2 linked regions of the Nothobranchius furzeri genome follow. The protein of the gene in region 2 interacts with the protein of the main gene of each other region in a pairwise test. Links are inferred from orthologs where the notes say so. Each region holds a gene or a part of one and is shown on either strand. Other genes may lie near its edges.

Region 1 (3,868 bases), on a different chromosome or scaffold from region 2:
TGTTTGATGTCCTCCACCAGGAATCCAAAGACGCCCTCATCTTCTTCTCCTCGTTGGTAAATTCCATTAGACGTTAGCTGGTAAACCAACAAATTTACATTCACTCACACACTGAAAACACCTGAGGTACACCACTCTAAGAGGTTCATCAGTTTCCCAAAAGTTAACTTCCTGCCCAAGACAGGTCGTGTTGGCCCGACACCAGGAAGAGGCATTAATGAATATCTCCTGACCTTTCTGTATCCTTATTGACTTCAAGGTCTCCTCACAAGACATCTCTAAAGGAGACAAGACTTTTATCCAACTTCCTTTTAATAAAAATATCTTATTCTGGCTCATAAAATGATTTCTTCACTTTACAGGTTAAGAACAATTACATTAAATAATGAATGTTTATCTAAAGTGGTTTAATAATCATTTTATATTAAAAAATGAATCAACACAAATGTTTATTCTGGAAATAATGCTTTATTTCATTATAAAATTCAACAGGTAGACTTATTTGGTGTATTAAAGATCTTAAATTATCAGTATATTCACATTTTAATATTGGTATATTAACAAAGGAACATATTTACTTCATATTAAGTGAAATAAGCTTTTCTAAGCGGCTGAGGATCCTGTTAATGCCCATTTACACTTGTTAGATTCGGATTTGTCAAGAACTGATAAATAAGAAATGTTAGGCATTTCAGTTCCTGCAGAAGCTTCCAGCGTATGCTAAAATTATCATCCCAGGGGAAATCAAGCCAGCTTTTTCTGTGGATTAGTTTTTAGCGCCAGAAAGAGCTGTCCTATCAAAATAAAACAATTATTATTATTTACTCCATCATCTACAAACAACTCATGAGCTGTGAAACGGTCCGCCTGCAGCCCGGGAGTCGACCTCTGACCAGCTGGTGCGAATACGGCCCGTGACATCCAGGTGTCAAACATTTTGCTTTCCAAGGAGAACTTTAGCTCAGCAGGATCGCAGAGGAGTCTCCATACACATGTGGGACCGCATTTCTGCACTGGCGTTTGATGAGTCAATTTTAATTTGATAACTTGTTAAACCGCATTAAACAGTCAAATTTATTTTATAAACCAAGACATCACACCTTTCTGAGTCACTTAGTGAAGCTCTTAAACATGCATGGTCATGTTTCATCGGAGTTCATTCATTGTCTCGTTTGATATCACTTTGAATCACCATTTATAATCATGTGCATTACATCATCATAGAAATATAGTAGTAAATAGATTTTTATAAACTATATTTTTGCCCCTGTGTCAAATGATTAGTGTCGTTTTCCTGGCGTTACCCAAATTACCTAGTTTCATCATCAATCGAATACTAAAGGTTCAATAATATTGATAATTAATATTTTTTATAAAATATTAAATTTTACTGAATACTTTTATATTTTATTTACAATTTACTAAAAGTAACCACTTACAAACGTTACAATAGGATGTTCCAGAAGGATAAAAATGTCTTCACTCACTCTGAACCGAAAGGTCCCTCAGGACGTCGTGATGATGAAGAGTTTAACCTTTAGTAAAACTCACCAAACAGAAGTAGTGGACGGAGAGGTTGTGATCCTTGAGCTTGACCTTTTCTCCATACAAGGCTGGGTCATCATCAGCGAATCGACACAGAACACAGTCTGGACACACACACACACACATACACAAATCCATAGTTACAAGCTTCCATTTGTGGTGTGTACAGATTCTAGAACTTCTACAAACTGACCTAAGTTTCTTACAGTTTGTAACTCCAAACATTTTGCTCTACTGGACCATTAAGCATGAAAGTCTTAGGTATTACCACCTGAGTCTCATGTTTTCTGCATACTGCTCTGAGTTGGTCAACCAGTATTGGGTCTATCCCAGGGAGCTGGAGCCTTTTGCAGCTCTTCAGTTACAGTTTGGCCACAATAACCACCATGATGAACATGACCATGAAGATGCCCATTGTAACATGTAGTACCAGGGCAGTTAAAGTCACAGGTTGATGACACCTTGTAGTCAGATCAGACCTTAGTACAAACTTTATAAAGACATTACAGAATGGCTCTTTTGCAAAGTTTAGATTGTACTATTTATTGTGTCATTGGGGTTTTATAAAATAGTTTTCACAAATGTAATCCTAGTAACCTCACAACCTCAGCATAGGATATTTGTTGGGACCCTCTTTTTTTTGGGGGGGGGGGGGGGGGGGCATGAACCCCAGATTGTTTATCACCGTTATGAAGAACAGGTTTAGGTGTGGACATCACTCACGATCTTCTTGCTTGGTGGATCCATCGGTGGAGCGAGGCATCTTGACCCTCTTCTTCATACTGGTTGTTTTCCACCTGTTGGCGAATGATGAAGGCTAGCAAATCATCGTCATGAATAAAACACACCATTTAGATCATCTACACAAAGAAAAAAAAACATGCTTCAGCCTCCTGAAGCACAACCACACCAACAATGTGTACACTGACTGGCCACTTTATTGGGTATACCTTGCTAATAATCATCTTCCTGCACCTCCACCCCCCCCCCCCCCACACACACACACACACACACACACACACAAATTCAAAGTTGTGGTGCATCACCTACAGAATTGCCCCTGAAAGATTGGATATAAGTCTGTCCCCCTGTGATCCACTGGTGAACATTTGAACTGCTCCAACTCAGCTAACCGACTCGGAGGGAACATAAATGTAACCAAGTCAAACCCAAAACTCACAAAGAGAACACAATACATTCGTGATTTTTGAAAGTTTAACCAAATAATATTTTAGGTTGAGTTAAATAAGAACACTTTTTCAAACAATGGATTCTTTAAAACACTCGAACATCTGAACTTGATCGAACGTAGACACGAATAACTAAGCGCTCGACGAACACGAAAAAGTTAAATCACTCACGAAGCGACTAAATAATTCTTACTTTACATCCAAGGAAGCAGAATTTTGGTTTGTGTCCAAATACGAGTCCGTTTTTTGTGTAAATCGATTTCCAGTTTACGTCTGCAGCTTCTGACGCCTTCCAGTTTAAATTTCCCTCTTTTCAAAACAAAAGCCGCTCATTTCCGTTTCCGGTCTGCTGTGTTTGGGTTTTTGGCACGTATATAAACGTATATATTAATGTCGATGATATAAACATGTTTATATACGTATCTATGACTTTTTGGTCCACGGACACATATATTGATCGTCTTTCTCTCCCACAATTGATTATTTCATTTAGCAGCTGACAGTCTTCCCTCGCTAAGTAGACTGTCCTGCCACCAACAGAACAGCTATTTTGGACCTCGGTGAAGTTCAGCTGCAGACCCTCTCCAAACCATAGACATATATACTGGACAATGGGATTCCATAGGCCCCAATAACGAGCAGCTAGGTATTATTGCCCACAATGCAGCTCTAAAATTGAGGCCAACCCGGAAGTACCAGAAATTGCAGTTCCACCCTCATCCGCTGGGGGCTGGTGTCAAAAGCGAGCAAATCCTCATTGACTCCCATGTTAAAAATACCAATTTCACAGTAGAAATAAACATGTTTACAGCCTGGTACCAAAACATGTTTTTTGTTTAAATTATCTAGTTTACACTCATGGCAACTCTGAGGGGGGTGAATTTTTTTCTCACTCTTCTGTTTAAGTGTATTGAAAGCCTAAAATTCTGTATAATTAATGAGCATCCAACACAAGTGACCACCGCCTCAGACCCACGTGACCACAGAGCTAGTTCCGTGGAAAGGCCTCAGTATAGCCTCGGTCTCTCCTGGAAACTGTTTCGGGATTTTGAGTCTCTGTGCTTGTGAATTCTGTTTTGGATATTACTGGTGCAATTGTTGGACAAAATGACTTGCTGTGGCATTAATTGCAC
Region 2 (3,926 bases):
CAAGTGACAAACTGACTCCCGCTTGTGTTTTCATTCCCCCCCCCTGCTATACAAACTACCTTAGGCAGGCCGTGATCAGGAAGTTTCAGATCAGTAAGCTTCTCTGTAGTTGCTTGTTCACCATCTTCTACTCTCCACAGCCTCAGCCCTCCATCAGCTCCCCCAGTAGCCACCCACTTCTTATCTGCTGCCCCCACGCTTATCGCCAGAGCACGGACGCCCCCCGCTCGATGGCCCTTCAGTGTTCGAACCACGTTCCCACTTCCAGCTAAGTTCCAGACTAAGCAGGCCCCGTCCTCCCCTGCACTAAACACTCTCCCTGGAGAAAGACACACAGAGAACACTCTGGCTTGGTGGCCATAAAGGACTCGTAAACAAGTTGGGTCCAACACCCCACATTTCCCTCCAGGGCCACCCAAAGCACCTACATCCCAGATCCGCACGCTGCGGTCATCAGAGGCTGAAGCCAGATACCCATTCTCCCGGAGGTAAGAGATGCTGAAGATCACGCCGCTGTGGCCCAACAAATGTCGTTCAACTGGGGCTTTAAACCCAGAATCCTTCATTTCGTGACATCCCCCTGGTTTCCAAATGACCAACTGGTTGAAAACAGTCCCCCCTACTAAGACAGTATCCACCCAGGATTCATGAACCAGGAGAAGGGCAGAATACAGCAAACAGCCCTCTAAACAAAAACACTCAACCAGAGTACTTCCTGTATGAACATCCAGGAGAAGAGCACCATTGTGAGCGACAGCCACACAGAGTAGTGACTGTTCTCCTCCTGAGAGCCAGCGAGCGTCCAGAGCCCAGTCCTGCAGCTCCAAGAGGGCACCCAGGATCTCCAGATGCAGGTGTTCCACATCCTGTGAATCCACATGGAGCCTCACTAGGCGCACAGCTTTGCCTCCAAACACCAGCACGTCGTAGAAGTTCAGCTCTGTGGCAGAACTCTTTACTAGGAGATGAGAGTGGAGAGGAGATCTCATAAATCTGTTTGTAATGACACCCTAAACTCTAAATCTCTAAAGCAATAAGAGGTTGTGAGTGATTTGAATCAATTAAATGCAATCAGACATTTAATGTGTTATTTTAATTTGTTATATTGGTGTGTTTTGTGCTTAATGTTTTAAATTTTGTGTAAAAAAATACAACTTTTCTGTTGGCTGCTTTCAAAATCATCAGTTATTTGCACAATCATTTTCATTATATTTGTAAAGACAAAGCAATTTCTTAAAAGAATGATAACAGCAAGAACTTGCTATTCTAACCATGTTCCTTCTGGCTCAGGGTCTCTGGACTTCTTGGTCTTATCCCGTGGATTCTGTGATGTAGGAGCACACTCAGCGAGGCGCGGGCTTTTGGGTGAGGCTGGAGACTGTATACTGACAAAACTGGACCTTCACCTGGCAGGATGGAAAGAAAAAGACAATTTAAGACCGTTAAAGGGGACAAATTACGCAACATTCACCTTTTGCATCCCTTTATGCTGCTACTTGCCTCTCTTCTGCCTCAGTAAACAATCCAGTCAGTTGTGAAAAAAAAATCCTTTTTCTGTCGGTGTTTTGTTTAGGAATTGTGTCTAAAACAAGAGGTTTCAAAAAGTCCCCATTTGTAATGTCAAAAACGAGGAAATTAGCACAGAACCAACCCTCAACTCATCGAGCTTGAGCAGCGTCTCTACTCTGAGCCTCTCTCAGATATTGGAGCTCTTCAGCTTATAGCAGCCTGAGCAAGGGATGAGTGTTTTTGAATTGAATTGAGTGGGTGTGGCCAGTTTTAGACTATTTTCTTAAAGTGACAGAGCTCTAAAACGGCTCATTCTAGAAGGTATTGAATAAAACTTCTCAAACTGCTTAATGTGAGGAGATTTAGTGCAAAATGGTCAGAAACGTGTTTTGTAAAAGCCATAGATCTAAAATACCATAAGAAAAAAGTAATATGTTTCCTTTAAGTGATCTTTTATAAAGGTTATGAATCCTAATGTGGATGAATCATTATTGTTTATATTTAATATTCTTTAATAGTTGTTGAATAATATTTAATCTGTGCAAGGTATGGCAGCCAAATGATTATAAGGTGAACTATTTTACTTTACCCTATAAACCTGTAAAATGTTAAATATATCCTTTGATCAGCAATTACATTTATTATTCATTCCATCTACCAGGATATTTGTTTAGACTTTTGATGCTCTTGTCATCGCTCAAAGCCTGTAACCTGCTTCTCATTATTACAATATATCACTTATTTGTTTGGAAGCATCTCAAGTGTTTTCACTTATTCATGATCATTGGACAGAAGGATCATTGGACGGTTGATAGATAGTTCCAGAATGAATATATAAAGGTTATACAGTGTGACCTAGTCGTCAATATTAATAAAACGGTGGCCACGACTGATTAAGCTCAACAGTTTCTGGTTCAACAGCACAAAAAACTTCAGACACTTCAACAAACTTACTTCCAAAATACATTTATACATGACTTTTGCCTTCAGCATATGGCTATAAGTAAATAGTTCCATGATTAAAATCAGAGCTGTAACTTACCAGTGAGTAGAAACTTGTCCTGAAGGAATTCCAAAGCTGTGATTGGAGCAACAAGGGCGACGGTCTCCATTTTTGTTGTTTTTATAGAAAAGTTGGTCGTTTTTACTTAAACAGCATGATTAATAATCCTTTAAGTCATGATTTCTTACTCGTGTGTTGAACATGATTAGGTCAGATATGGCGTTATACATAAAACATAAACAACAACTTACGAGCAATCAGTTAGCAAACAAGCTAAAGGGAGGAACATTTATCTAGTTTGACGTCGATAAACAAAAAAAAAACTGAAATTAGCTCTTTCAATGACAAAACAAAGTTATGTTTAGTTTCCTGACGTTCAAATACAGTTCAAACACATTTCGGCTATAAATTCTAACAATTGTATTGAGTTCTATGAGAAGCGTTATGGTCCACATGTGTTTATGTTCCGGATGTGCGGATCGATACTAAAGTATCGATACTCCGAATCTGGCTATTTATGTTTTGGAATCGATACTGTCATTAAAGTATCGATATTTGAGTGATTTAAAGTTATTAATTTGCTGGTCATTCTTCAAAAATTACGTTTTTATGACCAGAACTACTTCTTCTTCCGCCAACCGTGGTGCGTGATACGGCACAATATAAATACTTTAACCCACCACTGGGGGGCGCACACTGGGCTCCCTGTTTATGTTGTCTGCTGCCGGAACCGGAAGCTCACGGTTTGGAAGTGCATGGCATGCGCGGTACTAGTCGGTCTGAACATGTCTGAACGCAAACGGAGTCATGTTTGGAGCAGTTTTAGCTCTTCTGATAAAAACAATGCAGTTTGTGACATTTGTAGGAAGACTGTGAGGCATTGTGGTAACACAACTAACCTAGTTAAACATTTGAAAGTAAACCATAAGAAAGCATATGACGACTTCATGGTGAAGAGGACAGAAGACGAGAGGAGTGAGCCAGGTGCTGCTGCTGCAGCTAGGGTGAAACAGACATCACCTGCAGCTAGGGTGAAACAGACATCACTCGTGGAGTCCTTTGGTGCATCAGGCAGGCATTATCCAGGTACAAAAGGAGAGAATATGGAGCTGTTTAGGACTGGAATGTTGTAGGCTTAGGTTTTCTGCTGTTGAATTTAAATTTAAACTGTATGGACTGCAATTAATAAATATCAAATAGCAGCATAAATTTAATTACCCTATTTTTGTCAGGTGATATTTCATGTAGAGTAGATTGATTTAAAGCGGATTACATACACCAAATGTTATTAAAATTTACACAAGGTCAAGAAAACATTCCTTAGACAGAAACAAAGTTAATAACATTTTTCAGTTAAAGTTGCGTTGTTTTATTCTCAATTAGTCAGCGTATTTTGACTTAGTAATTAACTGAA

Evidence for each region.
Region 1: the proteins of wdr6 (region 2) and g2e3 interact in a two-hybrid assay, tested with the Homo sapiens proteins (2 studies listed by BioGRID and IntAct). The two-hybrid records come from large-scale screens. The link is inferred for Nothobranchius furzeri from reciprocal best matches to the Homo sapiens genes WDR6 and G2E3.

The regions. Positions count from the first base shown.
Region 1 is NC_091758.1:18,092,666-18,096,533, forward strand, and holds the start of g2e3 (G2/M phase-specific E3 ubiquitin-protein ligase), read right to left. Parts: upstream 3,051-3,868; 5' UTR 2,929-3,050; intron 2,343-2,928; 5' UTR 2,327-2,342; coding exon 2,269-2,326; intron 1,650-2,268; coding exon 1,552-1,649; intron 78-1,551; coding exon 1-77. UniProt on the Homo sapiens protein: E3 ubiquitin-protein ligase which accepts ubiquitin from an E2 ubiquitin-conjugating enzyme in the form of a thioester and then directly transfers the ubiquitin to targeted substrates. Essential in early embryonic development to prevent apoptotic death.
Region 2 is NC_091755.1:33,778,072-33,781,997, forward strand, and holds the start of wdr6 (tRNA (34-2'-O)-methyltransferase regulator WDR6), read right to left. Parts: upstream 2,983-3,926; 5' UTR 2,622-2,982; coding exon 2,552-2,621; intron 1,407-2,551; coding exon 1,272-1,406; intron 959-1,271; coding exon 1-958. Other genes in the region: uncharacterized protein, read left to right, coding at 3,268-3,598. UniProt on the Homo sapiens protein: Together with methyltransferase FTSJ1, methylates the 2'-O-ribose of nucleotides at position 34 of the tRNA anticodon loop of substrate tRNAs. Required for the correct positioning of the substrate tRNA for methylation.